Linked DNA regions of Caenorhabditis elegans. The protein of the gene in region 1 purifies or fractionates together with the protein of each later gene. This does not show direct contact. Each region holds a gene or a part of one and is shown in the gene's direction. Other genes may lie near its edges.

Region 1 (8,478 bases):
CCCACTGGCCACTGTTGATTGCCCGTTCAGGTAAATTTGATATGAAATAATGAATTTTTGCAAACCAATGCTATTCAGAACATCATCTGAAGTCGAATCTTGGGGTCCATTCCTCGAAACTTTAACCGACGCTGAAATCGAAAAGAAGATGCGTGATCAAGACAGAAACACGAGAAGAATGCGTCGTCTTGTTGGCGGTGGATTCAACTATTGAAGTATCTACTGATCTCTACGAAATCAACCTGTATTTAACGAATTTTAACCATTTTATCTCAATATTTTTAATGTGCACTTTCTTTTAATTTATTCTTTCCTCGATCTTTTCTCTACATTTTCTCGTGTAAACTGCTCTTTCCAATAGGAACTTGTGGCGGTTTTCAAACTGAATGATCTAACTGAAAATATAAATAAATAAAATTTCAGAGCCCGATCGTCTCAATCGCTTGAAGAGAAAAATGAGCGACAACGAAGTAGAGATGGAGGATGTGGTGGCCAACGCCGAGAGATCAAGAGGTCGAGGACTTGCGCAGGTAAATTTTGTCGAATTTTGTAATCAATAATCAATAATATATTTTTCTAGAGTCGCAATCGCGAGAGGATCACCTACGACGTGGTCGATGAAGAGTCGTCTGCCACAAGCGGAGCACCACAAAGATCCGTTGAAGGATGGATTGTCTTCGTGACAAACATTCACGAAGAGGCAACAGAAGATGATGTTCATGACAAGTTTTCCGAGTACGGAAAAATTAAGAACATTCATTTGAATCTCGACAGACGAACCGGTTTTTTGAAGGGATACGCACTGGTGGAGTACGAAACGCAGAAGGTAATATTTTAGCAGTCGTCGTTTCTATCGAAATCATTTACTATATATAAAGCGCTTATTCTGTGTGTCCATAGTTTGTAGTCTATGTAGTCTTTGTAGTCTGTGAAGTTTTGGCTTCTGTGGGGATAGTGAGTTGGGGTTAGTGTAGGGATATAGTCGGGGTACTGTAGTGGTACAATAGTGGTACGGTAGGAATACTGTAGGGTTACGGTAGTTTCAGAAAAATTAGTTTTCAGCCCCAGAAGTGGGGGGCCGCGCCGGAGGTGCGGTCCACGGCTGGTATCAATATAAATTATTTATTTTCCAGGAAGCCAACGAAGCTATTGATCAGAGCAACGATACAGATCTTCTCGGCCAGAATGTCAAAGTCGATTGGTGCTTCGTCAAGGGAAAGAAGACTTCTGGAAAGCGCTGAAAACCACGTACTTAATTGTCCTCTCCAATCCACGTTTTATGTTTTTTTACACGTCACTGTTAAGTTTTTCCTTTTCTATTTATTTTTTGTCCTCTTTCCCAATTTACCATTCGAAATTTTAAATATCTATTTGGTCTCAACTCGCTCGCTCTTCTCAATTTTGCGATTTTTGTTATCTATGTGACACATGCAATAACAGTGAATAAAATGACCATTTTTCAATTATCTGCTGTTGCTATTTTCTTTTTATCGTTAACCAGTTTGGAACGATTTGATATCTTCAATTGTTTCGTAGATCAAATTCTGGAAAAAAAGATTTCTGAATATCTGAGTTTTGCAGATGTTTTCTTCTGCTGTTCGAGCTCTTTGCCGCACGGTTCCTACTGTTGCCACCCGCCAGTTGAGCACATCTCGTGCTCTTTTGTCACTTCGTCCACTTGGACCAAAAAATACTGTCCCAGCTTTCAAAGGAACTGCTGTCGTTGATGGAGACTTCAAGGTTAAAAATAACAAATATATATATTTTTTTCAAAAATTAATTCCAGGTGATTTCTGATCAAGACTACAAAGGAAAATGGCTCGTCATGTTCTTCTATCCACTTGACTTCACCTTTGTATGCCCAACTGAAATCATCGCATACGGAGATCGTGCAAACGAGTTCCGTTCTCTTGGAGCTGAAGTTGTCGCGTGCTCGTGTGATTCTCACTTCTCTCACTTGGCCTGGGTTAACACTCCACGCAAGGACGGAGGACTCGGTGATATGGACATCCCTTTGCTCGCTGATTTCAACAAGAAGATCGCCGACTCGTTCGGTGTGCTCGACAAGGAATCCGGACTCTCATACCGTGGACTTTTCCTCATTGATCCATCTGGAACTGTCCGTCACACTACTTGTAACGATCTTCCAGTTGGAAGATCTGTTGATGAGACTTTGAGAGTGCTCAAGGCATTCCAATTCTCTGATAAGCACGGAGAGGTGAATTTTGAAATTTACAAAAAATTTAATTTCTAGCAAAAAAAATGCAATGTTTTTTTTCCGAAACTTTGGCCCGCCATAAAAATATTTAAATTTTTGTTGAAAAGGAAATCGGTCGTTTCGGGCTAGTTTTAGTCCATTAAAACAAATTTCGACGAATAAAAAATTAATTTTTCAGGTTTGCCCAGCTGATTGGCATGAGGATTCTCCAACCATCAAGCCAGGAGTCGCTACCAGCAAGGAATACTTCAACAAGGTCAACAAGTGATCACACAGAAACAGAACAATTATTTTTATTCTTTGTATTTATCATATTGATGATTTAGTTTGTCGGTTTAAATAAATAGGTGTCATTCAGCTCGAGTTTTTTGAAATTAATTTTGGAAAATATACGGTTTCAGAAAAATCCATTAAAATATTGATTTTTGTTTCCTAAAAAGTTTTGGAAAAAAATGTGAATTTCATTTCAGATTTTTCTAAATAAATGAACAGGAAAAAATTAGCAGCATATGGTCAGGAATTCGAAGATGATGACGAAGAAGGTCTGCAATTTTACAGTTTTCAGGAAAAAAATAAATAATTTCAGGAAGCTCTGTATCAAAAAAGCCAACTCAAATCCACGAAGAGATAGCAACAGATGAAAAAGGAAAACGGAGATTCCATGGAGCCTTCACTGGAGGATTTTCAGCTGGTTATTGGAATACAGTTGGATCAAAGCAAGGATGGGTTCCTCAAGTGTTCTCATCATCTCGGAATGAACGTGGAGAACAAATAAAACAAAGAGCTGAAGATTTTATGGATGCAGAAGATCTTGGAGAATATGGAATAGGGAATCGATCGATAAAACAGACTGCGGCATTTGGTGAAGGAGCTGGACAGAAAAGGAAAATGGCTTGGGAACGGGATACGACAAGTATTTCAACGATAACTCAGATGTTTGAGGATGTTGTGAAGCCTGTTAGTAATTCGATAGGAGTACGGATGCTCCGATCAATGGGATGGAGAGAAGGACGAGGCATCGGATTGGCAAATGTTAAACAGAAACAGAAGAGAGGTTCGAGAGCATATCTAATTGAAGGAGGAGTTATCAAAAAAAGTTTAAATTAGTCTGAAATTCTTAAAATCCATAATGGAAAAAGGGAAACATCGCAAAAAAAGAAGAAAAATCTCGTTTGTAGGAGTGCGATTTTTCGTTCTTTGGCAATTTTTTCGTGTTTTCTTTGTGGTTTTTCAGGATGGATTTGAGGCGATTTTGAATTTTTTACAGCGGAGTCCTCACCGAAACTTTTCAAAAATGTTTTATGGCGGTATTTAACAAATTTCGTCAACTTTTCCGTGCCGGAATTTTTTTGGGTTGTTTTTTCTGTGTTTCAAAGTTGTTCGTCTAGCGTTTTTTCGTGGATTTAAGAACATTTAGAGATCAAATCTGGTCCAAATGTACCTAAATTCCCAAAAAAAAATTAGATAAATATCGATTCCCAGACGCTTTGGCAAAATTCGGTTTGTGTTTTCAATAAAAAAAATTAGTTTTGAAGATTCTCGTGCTAAAATTCGGTCTTTTTGGGCCATTTTGAGTCCAAGAAACCAAGATTTTTATCGATTAATCCTCCTTTAACCAAATAATCAATTCCTTCAAAAAAAATTAATTTTTCCAGGCGGCGAGTCGTCGGAAGCCCAATTCGACCGCGAGCAAGCTTCAAAGGTGGCTCCAGCGTACGAATTTTCGAATGAAGATGCTCTTGTCAAACAACTGACCCCATTAACTGGAACTCATGGAATAGGATATCAAGGTCTTCGTAAGACTACTGTACTTAATGAGTCATACGGTAGAACAACTTTGGCTTTGAAATCCGGAAAGAAAAATAGCAAAGGAATAAAAGGACAAGCATTCGGAGTTGGAGCATTTGAAGAAGAAGATGAAAGTGTTTATTCGAATTATGATCTCTCGCAATTTGATTTTTCATTGGATGTAGCTGGAGCATCAGAAGAGAGTAATTTGAAAACACAGAAATTGGTTACTGCATTTGAATTACAGCCAAAGAGGCTTAATCCAAGAAAATTCTATGCTCCTCCAAGAGTTCCGCCGAATTTTCGAGGCGATCATCGTCCGATTCCAATGGATATCTCGAAACTTCCACAAATGATGAAGAATGATGTAAAACATATGAATGCGGAGCAAAGAGCAAAGTATGATTTAAATTAACAATAATTCATATTTTTTCGCTTTTTTTTGTTTTCCGAAATTTGCTAAAGTTTGAGTTTACGGGTTTTTAAAACGTAAATCGATTCAGCTTTTTCCGAGAATTTTGACCTGAAAATTATTTGGAACATTTTTTTGGCCATTCTCATCATTAAATTTCGGTCAATTTTAGAATATTTTTGTTGAACTTTATTTATTTCAGATTCCTTGGTGAAGATCGCGTGAATGCACTTGAAATTGGAGGCAAAAGTTCCAAAAAACCGACAGAACGAAGAAGTCGATGGGATATCAAGGCAAATGAAGTCGAAAAACGTGATAATGAGCGTGGTGGTGGTGAAGCAGAAGAAGATCGGGATCGACGACAACGGAATCGAATTGAATTCCCTGATGAGCCTATGCGACAAGCTCGATTTAAAGAGTTTCTTCATTATATTCGACGTGGTCTACCGTACCCTCAGCCCACTGATCTGACTGTCTGGGAGTGGGAGTGGGAAAAGAAAGAATTCGAGTCAAAATTGACATCTGACGAACGGGGAATGCTTCCAGAAGTACAATCCAGGGCTCAGCCACTTGCAAAAACTGCCATAGCAGCGCCGATTCATGAAATGATGGCTTCGAAATTTGTGAAAGAAGCTGGCGGTGATTTGAAAGTTGGAACGAAGGATGAGGATAAATTAGCCGCTGTGAAAATGGAAATGTTTGGAGAAAAAACGAGGCAAAGCTTTGATTGGTATGTTTCTAAATTGAGAATCATCTAAAACGACCGAATTTCATAATGAGATTTCTCAAAAAACAATTTCGAAAAAAGGCAAAAAAATGTATGTGCTGCAACAAGATCAAGATGACGAATATTCGGATTTTACAATATTTGGCTCTTTTTTTAGAAATTTTCTGAGAATTCTTATTATGAAATTTTTTTGTTTAGGGCTAGTTTTAGCCATTTAGTCCCTTTGAAAAATGTAGAAATTTTTAAATTTTCAGGTATCCTGACAATCTTCTCGCTAAACGATTCAATGTTCCCCATCCATATCCTGGATCAGACACTGTCGGAGTTCCAGCTCTTCAGAAGACTGATTGGAAGCGGAAAGATCGATTAGCAGATATTGGTGGAGTCTCGGCAACGTTGGGACTTCCGAACACTGCAAATGAAATTGAAATGAGGGAGCGACTTCTGAAATCGAGAGCTCAGAGAGGAGCAGAAGAGAAAAAAAGAAATCAATCAGATGATGACGATGAGAAAGAATATGATGATAAGGATTCTGATGAAGAAGAGGAAAATGAAGCCGAGCCTAACAATCAGAAGGTAGACAAAGCTCCAAAATCGTTTTTTGATTTCATTTTTGGAGATGGAGACGGTGCAGACTCAGATGAGAGTAATAGTGAAGATGAAGAAGCTGAAGAGAAGGAACGGCAAGAGATTCTGAAAAAAAGAGAAGAGGATTTGAAAAGAAGAAGGGAAATAGTTGAGAAGAAAGAGGAGGAGAACAGAAAACGAGTGGAAAAAGAATTAAAAGAATTAGAAAATAGGGATTTGCTGAGAGTTTCAAAGCAACAGGAAGATGATGATATTCAGATTATTGATGAAACTTCTGCATCTTCATTTGGTCCAGCTCTTCCTCCATCTTCAAAACCAGTTCTTTCAAAAACGGAAGTACTGAAACTTTTAGAAAAGAATATGAAGAAAAAGAAAAAGGATAAGAAGGAGAAGGAAAAGAAGAAGAAATCGAAAAAATCAAAAAAGAGCAAGAAAGAAAAGAAGACAAAGAGGAAACATTCTTCGTCTAGTGCCGACGATTCCGGTGATAATTCCGATGGATGGGAGGAGAAGAAATAATCTGAATTAAACATTTTGTTAATTTTTTTTATTTATTTATTTATTATCATATATTACTATGGTTTCGACTTGTAAAAATGAAACATAAAATTTCTCAAAGTGATGTCTGAACTATCCTTCTCCTCCCGTGTGGCTATTTGTCCCCAGTTAAATTGTCTGCATCTCTCGTTCTCTATTTCTCTCGCTTTCTATTCTCTCAAGGATTGTGAGGTTTGGTTCCTGCGAACTCGTGCACTGAGGTCACATTTTTCGAGCAGAAATGAGTTTTCAATTTCAATTTTTCAAAGATTTTAGTTTTTCAGATGCTTTCTCTGTTAAAAATTAGTACAATTTGTTTTCCATTTTTTCAGTCTGCAAATATTAACCGGCACCTTTAGAAACATTTTTTGAATTGCATTTGAAAAACCTTTTTTAATTTGAAAAATTAGAAAAATTAATTAGAAAAAAAACCCAACAAATTTTAATGCTGAAAAACTACAATTTCTAGTTTTTTTGTAGTTTTCAGCAGTAAACGCATTGGTTTTTTACATGAAATACTATAAATGTGGGATAAATTGGTAAATTAATGTTTTATACATAAAACAATTAGCGAAAATGGTTAAAAATCAAGTTTATTGGCTAAAAACAAAGCTATCCGCGATAAATTAATGCACACAGTTTTCCTCGAGGAGTACACGAGCTTCGTAAATCGACACGTTGTCTTGCCACGAAGATTTTGTTGAGTGGGATTAGGTGTGCGCCTTTAAAGAGTACTGTATTCTCAAACTTTTGTTTTTTGAGTTTTAAAAAATGTTTCATTGTTTTCTCAAATCCAACAAATAATGAGATCTCATTATTTCTTCGAATTTTTCTGTTTTTATTGTTTTACCTCAATTTTTAATTTGAAAACATATTTTTATCGAAAAGCTATGAAAAGCCGATTCATTCAACAGAAATTAGTCGTGTCGAGACCCGGTATAGTATTTTTGGAGCAAAAGTCTCATAATTTAACGGCCATGCTTCAATTTTTTTTTGAATTTAAAACCTAAAGACAATTTCTGAAAAATCAAAATTAAACCTTCTAATGGAACCAAAAAGATCAATATCATCTTTTAGCCACTGACAAAAACAATTATTTATTTTCGTTCTCTCATCCATTTTTCTCTAATTCTCTACAGAGGGTTTTCCTTATTTTATCATCATTGAACAAAAATACTGATTTGATTGCTTATCACTTTTTGTTCCTTATCAAACCCAAATATATATCGGACGTTTTTTCTTGATTTCTCACGCGATTTCAGCGAAATGAACATTTTCGAACATATTTTTAAAAAGCTTAAAACCTAAAAATTCATATTTCCAGATGTCTCGAGTTATATCAAAAGTGACGACATATTTCAAGCAACATTCCACCGCCGAATGGAAGCATTACTTCTTGTCAACTCATTTTTGGGGACCAGTGGCTAACTGGGGACTTCCGTTGGCTGCTCTTGGAGATTTGAAGGTAACTGCATTTTTTAGAGACAAGTTAGGGTGAAAAAACGTTACTTTTGTATTGGGTGTTTAAAAATTGAAAAGCGCTTTTAATCCATAGCCAGATTTGGTTTTTTTAATAAGTGCTGAAAATGTGTGTGCCTTTAAAAAGAACAGTAGTCGTAATTATGTTTTCTTGCTTTTCTAAATTTTGCAGGTTAATCAATTTTTTTCACATGAAATAAAATATATTTTCCCAAAAATTTAACAAAAAAAACTAGCAATAAAGGAATAAAAAACTGTACACCTTAAAGGCGCACACTCTGTTTTGCAAATTTTATTTTTAGTTGTGAATTTTCTGCTGAGACCTGAAAATAGCAACTTTAGTACTACTATAATTTGTCAACCTTTTCAAAAAAAGCATGCAATTTTTGAGAAACTCTTATAAAAGCTATTATTAAAAAAACACCTTTTTTCCAAAATTATTCCACAAAAAATATGTTATGAAATGCCTACACCCTCTCACACACACTCTTTATACTACTCTGTCAAACTCACGAGATGTCTGCCGCCTCTTGTGTCCCCCCTATATAAACACCTCCTATTGCGAGATGTCTTGTTCTTCCGAGAACATATACTAAAATTGGAACAATACAGAGAAGATTAGCATGGCCCCTGCGCAAGGATGACACGCAAATTCGTGAAGCGTTCCAAATTTTTTGTGAAATTTTCTATAATTTTTTTTGCAGAAAAATCCTGACATGATCAGTGGAC
Region 2 (6,529 bases), on another chromosome or scaffold:
TCTCGAGAGATCAATCCGATTTCTTTGCATTCGGCTCCTTCGGTGTCATTTTTTGAGTCGCTTTCTTCAGCGCCGTATCTGAAAGTATTCCTCTTTTTTTTCTTTAGTTTAGACTATTTTTCATTTACTTTGTAGATTTTTCCCCATTTTTCCCTCCACATTTCTGTCCCGCTTCTGATTAAGATTAAAGTATTTTGATTTGATTTTTGAATTTTTAAGTTTTTTTTCGTTGGTTTTTATAGTCGGTTGAAGCTCCCGAATTTGCATTTTTCTTTTATTTTTTATTATAACTAAGGGTTTCGTTGAGAAACTCGGTTTTTTTTCAGAGATGATCGAAAAAAAAAATTGTTTTTTGAGGAAAAAAAAAATTTTTTCATTAAAAAAGGCAAAAAATTATCGAAATTTTGAAAATGCCTCGAAAAAAAAACGAATTTTTTTTCAAAAATAAAAAATAAAATTTCGGATTTTCTCGGAGCAAAGCTAATATTGATGAGAAAAAGCATAGGAAACCCTGCAATTTTTTTCAAAAAACAAAAAAAAACGAAAAATTACCAACATTTTGAGAGATTTCTCGAAAAATAGATTTGTTTTTTTGGAAATATCGAAAAAAAAATTAGTTTTTATATTTTCCCGAAAATAATTGGAAAATTATGTTGTTTATATTCATGAGAAAAATCTAACATAATTTTATTTTAAAAAAAAATGACCAAAACTTTGACATATTTCTCGAAAAATCAATTTCCGGAAATCGAAAATTTTTTAACTAACTAAAAATTCTCATAGAAAAAAAAACATCATCGATTTTTACCTGAAAATCTAAAAAAAAAAGATATATATCGAGTATTTTTAATGTTAAATACAGAAGGAATTGGCAAAAGATGGCCAAAAATTATTTTTCCGGCAAATCGGCAAATTGCCGGAATCGACAATTTCCGGCAAATTGTGGCCTTGCACATTTTTTTGGAACTTTTGAAGAATTTCAATTTAAATAGGCAAAGAAATTTTTAAAAAAGGCATCCAATGAATGTTCTTACATCTATTTTAAAAAATTAAAAATTCTATGAAAATATCTAACGAAAAATGGGAAAAAATTTTAAAAAGGCACAATTTGGAGTGTTTCCGTTTTAAAAAAATCGCTCTACAAATTTCCGTCATATCGATATCCGGCAAATAGGCAATTTGCCGAAAATGAAAAATTCCGGCAATTTCCGCACACGCCTGGGTCAATCGATATTTTTCTCACAAAATTCAAAAAGCTGACTCACCCGGCTCATCAGGAGTTTTCGAATTAATATAAATAACTGTGAGAAAGACGAGAAGCGCGACGACAGGAATAAAAACGTGAACAGCTGAAAATTCATGAAAATCGGTTGAAATTAATTTAATATATTTAACTCACATTCAACGAGATTATAGACGGCGTCCATGTTTGACAGAGCCCCAAGTTGCCTTCTTGCTCCGAGAGAGAAAGAGCACACACTACTGCGCTTGATATCGATTTTTGTGTGCTGCGAAAAGCGTTGAAGAAAACGGAAAAGGAGACCTCCGTTACGAAAAAGATGTGAAAAAGACGAGAGAGGGGGGGGGGGGAGAAGCTCGGATAATAAAATGAATAAACTGGGAGAAAGAGGAAAAGACTTTTGTGGATTTTCAACAATTTTTTAGTAGCAAAGATTCGGAAAATTAGCCGATTTTCCTGAAGAAAAGTTAGTATGAATAAAAAAAATAAATTGACGAAATTTTTTTGAACTTGGAATCCACTTTCAACAATTTTTGAATACAAAGATTTGGAAAATTTGGCGATTTTTTGCGGAAAAATTAGTAGATGGATGGAATTTTGCTGAAATTTTGCTGGGATCCACCGAAAATAGGAAAAATAGCTTAAATTGCGAATAGGTTTTGCAAAAAAAAAATTTTTGTTGAATTTTTGAAAAAAAAGCAATTTTCTAGAAGAATATTTTATTGGTTTTATCTAGTTTTTTGGGAATTTTTTTTTGAAATTTTTCCAAAATCTGGGATTTTTCACCATTTTTCCTTTTTTTTGCGTGATAGTTTGAGATTATTCATGATTTTTCTTCTCTCGAGGCATTTTTTCGAAATTTATTCAACAAAAATTACATTTCATGGCTTTTTTGATCTTGTAGCGTGCCTTTTTATCCAAACAGTATTTAATTTTAGGATTTTTTGGGTAATTCTGAAATTATTACGGGAACACAATTCTAAAAATGCGTATTGCACAACACATTTGACGCGCAAAATATCTCGTAGCGAAAACTACAGTAATTCTTTAAATAACTACTGTAGCGGTTGTGTCGATTTACGGGATCTCGATTTTTGAAATTAATTAATTTAACGATTGAATATTAAAATTAATTTTCTTTAAAAAAAATCGATATCCCGTAAATCGACGCTACCGTATTCATTTAAAGAATTACTGTAGTTTTCGCTACGAGATATTTTGCGGGTCACTCAGAATTTTGCGTTTCCGTAATATTAGTGTGTTTCTTTTTTCGATTTTCCGATACTTAGACAAATTATTTTTTTTTTTCGAAACATGTCTATAAATTTTAGCTATTTTTCTTCTTTTTTTTTGAGAAAAATGTTTTTTTTCCTATTTATGCATTTCCTCATCGACATAAAAAAATTAACACAGATTTTAAAATTTTAGTTTTTTTTTCTAAAACATTTTCTGATTATCTCTGAAAAAAAAACCGAAAAATCGATATTTTGCTTCTCAACTCATAATAAAATTCCAAAATTCCAGAACATCCGCAATGGCAACTGGTAACCGTAATCCGGAGAACTTCACATCATTGTCACCAATCGTAAAGGCTCCAATAACCGATACTCTTTCGGTTCCACTCTCCCAACAGGGACGTATCTGCGGATTCTTTGAATCTCAATTCTACCGTTGTATGGAGGCTTACGGAGCAAAGATGGGACGCAAGTATTGTGATCTCGAGCATCGTGACTTCCAGGAGTGTGTCACTGGGGATAAACAGAAGAAGGTTCGATATCCGGAACAGAACTGTCGCGAAAAAAAATTGGACTAAAAAACAAAAAATTAGTGAAAACCAAATAAATTTGATCCCTTGAATTTATTCTTTTAACGGAGGACTAACGGTTCGGACGATTTTGAACGTATAGACCCAAAATGTTCTCAAATGAACGAATTTCGTAATGAAACTTTTCAAAAAATTTCCAAAAATTTTTTATGGCGGTTCAAACTTTTGAAAAAATTACACTGATTTTGGCTAAAATCTCGAATTTTGCCCATTTTTCCGTGTCACATCTGTTCGAAGTTGGCTTTTTTTGGAATTATCGTCCTTTATTACATATATTGGTAATTAATCTCATTTAATTTCGTGGATCAAATAACATTTAAAGCCGATAGGTAACCAATTTCGATGATTTTTGGTTACCTATCGGCTTTAAATGTACTTTAATCGACGAAATTAAATGAGATAAACTACCAATATATGTAATAAAGGACGATAATTCCAAAAAAGCCAACTACGGACAGATGTGACACGGAAAAATGGGAAAAATTCGTGATTTTAGCTAAAATCAGTGTTATTTTTCAAAATTTTGAACCGCCATAAAAATTTTTTAAAAATTTTTGAGCAGTTTCATTACGAAATTCGTTCATTTTCCGGAAATTTCTAAAATTCTAATTTAAAAAAATGTTCCTTCATTTTTCTGATTTTTGAGTTTATTTTCTCGTCTTCTTTCATGCAATTTTTCCGATTTTTCTCCTATTTCTAAAGAAAAGAAAAATCGAAAACTCTGAAAAATTTGGTTTTTTAACTTTTGGATTTTTTTTGTTGATAAAATCGAATATTTTTGGTTTTCGATTTTCCTAAAAATTTAAATGTGTGTTCTCCAGTTTTTTTGCCCTGAAAGAGAAAAAACTACCATAATCTTTTTTCTGCGCATCGAGACCCATCTGAATAAACCCGTGCGCCTTTAAAAAACATCACATGAAATTCCAAAATAATCGAAAAACAATTTTCCAGAGAGCTGACGCCATCCGTGAACAACGCTGCAAGCTGTTCCTCGACGGAAAAATCGCGAAGCCATACGTCGACAATCATCCAGAACCGGGACAATTCAAGACTGATCACTTCCAGTGGAATCGTATCAACTAGATACTTGAAGTGCCTTTAGTTTCGAGAGAAATCGCCTTATTTTTTGTAGTTTTCATTTCTTTTTTCTTTTTAATCTTTTCTAAGTACATAAAAAGATTTATAATAAAAAAAAAAAGAAGCAAGTTAAGAGATCAATAATAGTCCGGGTAACACATCCAATGACACAATAATATCTATATCTATAATGAAATATGAAATTAAAAATGGAAGAAAAAGTCGCCGCCACCACGGCCGCCACCACCACCACCGCCGAATGGATTAAATCCGTGGAAATTATGAAATCCGTGTGATCCTCCACCTCCACCTCCACCCCTCCCTGCTTCCGAATCCAGTGGATCTTGTCCATTATCGAAAGCTCGCCGCTTCTCCTCATTGCTCAAAACTTCCTTCGCCGCGGCAATATCGATAAACTTCTTCTCAGCTTTCTTCTTCTCCTTCTCATCCTGAAAGTTGTCCGGATGCCATTTTTGAGCCATTTTTCGATAGGCTTTTGTGATTTCTCGTTTATTGGCGTTCCGGCGGACTCCGAGAATTTTGTAGTAATCTCGTTTTCCGACGAGTTCCTTTGCACGCTTTGCTTGATCTTTTCCAGTTCGGACGGCGTCGTTTGATGAATCCCATTCTTCGGCTTTTTCGTAGTCAGCGATTGCTGGAAATTAGATTTTGATGATCGATAAATCCGTGAAAAGCAGCGCCGCACAGAAAAAGAGGCGGGGCTTATTTTTGCAATCCTGCGGCACGGTTTTTCCTCCTTTTTATTGATTTTTTTCAATGAGAAATTCTGAATTTCGTCAAAATTTTCTGTTAAAACGAAGAAATAGCGTGCGGAGGCTTGCGAAAACCTGCGCCGCACAGAAAAATAGGCGGAGCTTATTTTTGCAACCGTGTCGCACCGGTTTTTCCTCCTTTTTATTGATTTTTTTCAATGAGAAATTCTGAATTTCGTCAAAATTTTCTGTTAAAACGAAGAAATAGCGTGCGGAGGCTTGCGAAAACCTGCGCCGCACAGAAAAAGAGGCGGAGCTTATTTTTGCAACCGTGTCGCACCGGTTTTTCCTCCTTTTTATTGATTTTTTTCAATGGAAAATTCTGAATTTCGTCAAAATTTTCTGTTAAAACGAGGAAATAACGCGCGGAGGCTTGCGAAAACCTGCGCCGCACAGAAAAAGAGGCGGGGCTTATTTTTGCAATCCTGCGGCACGGTTTTTCCTCCTTTTTATTGATTTTTTTCAATGAAAAATTCTGAATTTCGTCAAAATTTTCTGTTAAAACGAGGAAATAACGCGCGGAGGCTTGCGAAAACCTGCGCCGCACAGAAAAAGGGGCGGGGCTTATTTTTGCAACCCCGCGGCACGGTTTTTCCTCCTTTTATTGATTTTCCGAATGAAAAATCCGATTTTCATTGAATTTCGTTGAAAATTTCTGTTGAAAATGAGGAAAAAACGTGCGGCGGCTTGCGAAAACCTGCCCCGCACAGAAGGTTGCAAAATTACGCCCCGCCCATTTTTCTGCGCGGCGCAGATTTTTTTCTCATGTTCAGCAGAAAAATTCGAACTAATTAAAATCGGATTTTTTTTGGAAAAAAAAAATTTTAAAAAAGCATTTCCAGTAAAAATCCATTTTTATTTGAATTCTGTTCGAAATTTCCTGTTAAAAACGAGGAAAAAATAAATAAAAGCGTGCGGCGGCTTGCAAAATCGATGTTCAATCGCTCCGCCCCCCACGACTGGGTCTCGTTAGGTATTTCGCGCCCTTTTTAAAAATGGTTTCCGTTGTTTTAATAATTTTTATGACGAAATTTATCCAATTTTTAGACATAAAACTCATTAAAAACACCCTAAAATTGTTAGAATTCATGAATTTCCCACCAAATTCCTAACGAGACCCAACGTTCTGGGGCGGAGCCTTTTAAATTGGCCGTGGAGCGCGCTTGCAGAGTAACTTCTAAAACGGACCCATATCATACTCCTCGTCTGCCATATAAGCTTCAGCTCTCTGAATCAACGTTTCCACATCAGAATCATCAAATTCCAGTACTCGAGTACACTGTTGAATGGCTTCTCCTAGATTTCCGTCTTCTCGATTACATTGACACATCAATCGGAAAATGTTCATCCGAATCGGAATTTCTTCGTTCTTTTCCAGAAGTTTTTCACCAGTTTCCAGGCATTTTGTCCATTCCTGTTGTTCGATTGATGCCTTCATAGAATCTAGGGATTTTACGATTTTCTTCAGTGATTTGTAGGAGGTGTAGCATTTTTTGTGATCCGGATTAAGCTTCAGACATTCGCGGATTGAACTGAAAAATTTGAATTTAGCTCAATTTACGTAAATTTGCGCGTTTTTCTCCTTCGAAAAGTGTTAAAATTGCAAAAAACGCA

What was found. The genes of interacting proteins can lie anywhere in the genome.
Region 2: the proteins of gpch-1 (region 1) and nduf-5 fractionate together in Caenorhabditis elegans (co-fractionation; one large-scale study listed by BioGRID). This does not show direct contact.

Annotation. Positions count from the first base shown.
Region 1 is NC_003281.10:4,405,863-4,414,340, forward strand, and holds gpch-1 (G patch domain-containing protein 1 homolog), read left to right. Parts: upstream 1-2,688; 5' UTR 2,689-2,702; coding exon 2,703-2,760; intron 2,761-2,804; coding exon 2,805-3,272; intron 3,273-3,873; coding exon 3,874-4,405; intron 4,406-4,620; coding exon 4,621-5,148; intron 5,149-5,399; coding exon 5,400-6,252; 3' UTR 6,253-6,345; downstream 6,346-8,478. Other genes in the region: snfc-5 (SWI/SNF Subunit INI1 DNA binding domain-containing protein), read left to right, coding at 1-30, 79-214; RNA-binding protein rnp-4, read left to right, coding at 456-530, 581-826, 1,134-1,241; putative peroxiredoxin prdx-3, read left to right, coding at 1,582-1,740, 1,787-2,218, 2,397-2,486; mpc-1 (putative mitochondrial pyruvate carrier 1), read left to right, coding at 7,595-7,735, 8,454-8,478.
Region 2 is NC_003279.8:2,999,083-3,005,611, reverse strand, and holds nduf-5 (NADH dehydrogenase [ubiquinone] iron-sulfur protein 5), read left to right. Parts: upstream 1-2,764; 5' UTR 2,765-2,774; coding exon 2,775-3,008; intron 3,009-4,016; coding exon 4,017-4,148; 3' UTR 4,149-4,252; downstream 4,253-6,529. Other genes in the region: Y54E10BL.3 (CcoQ/FixQ family Cbb3-type cytochrome c oxidase assembly chaperone), read right to left, coding at 11-78, 1,266-1,349, 1,400-1,427; dnj-28 (J domain-containing protein), read right to left, coding at 4,346-4,797, 6,104-6,447.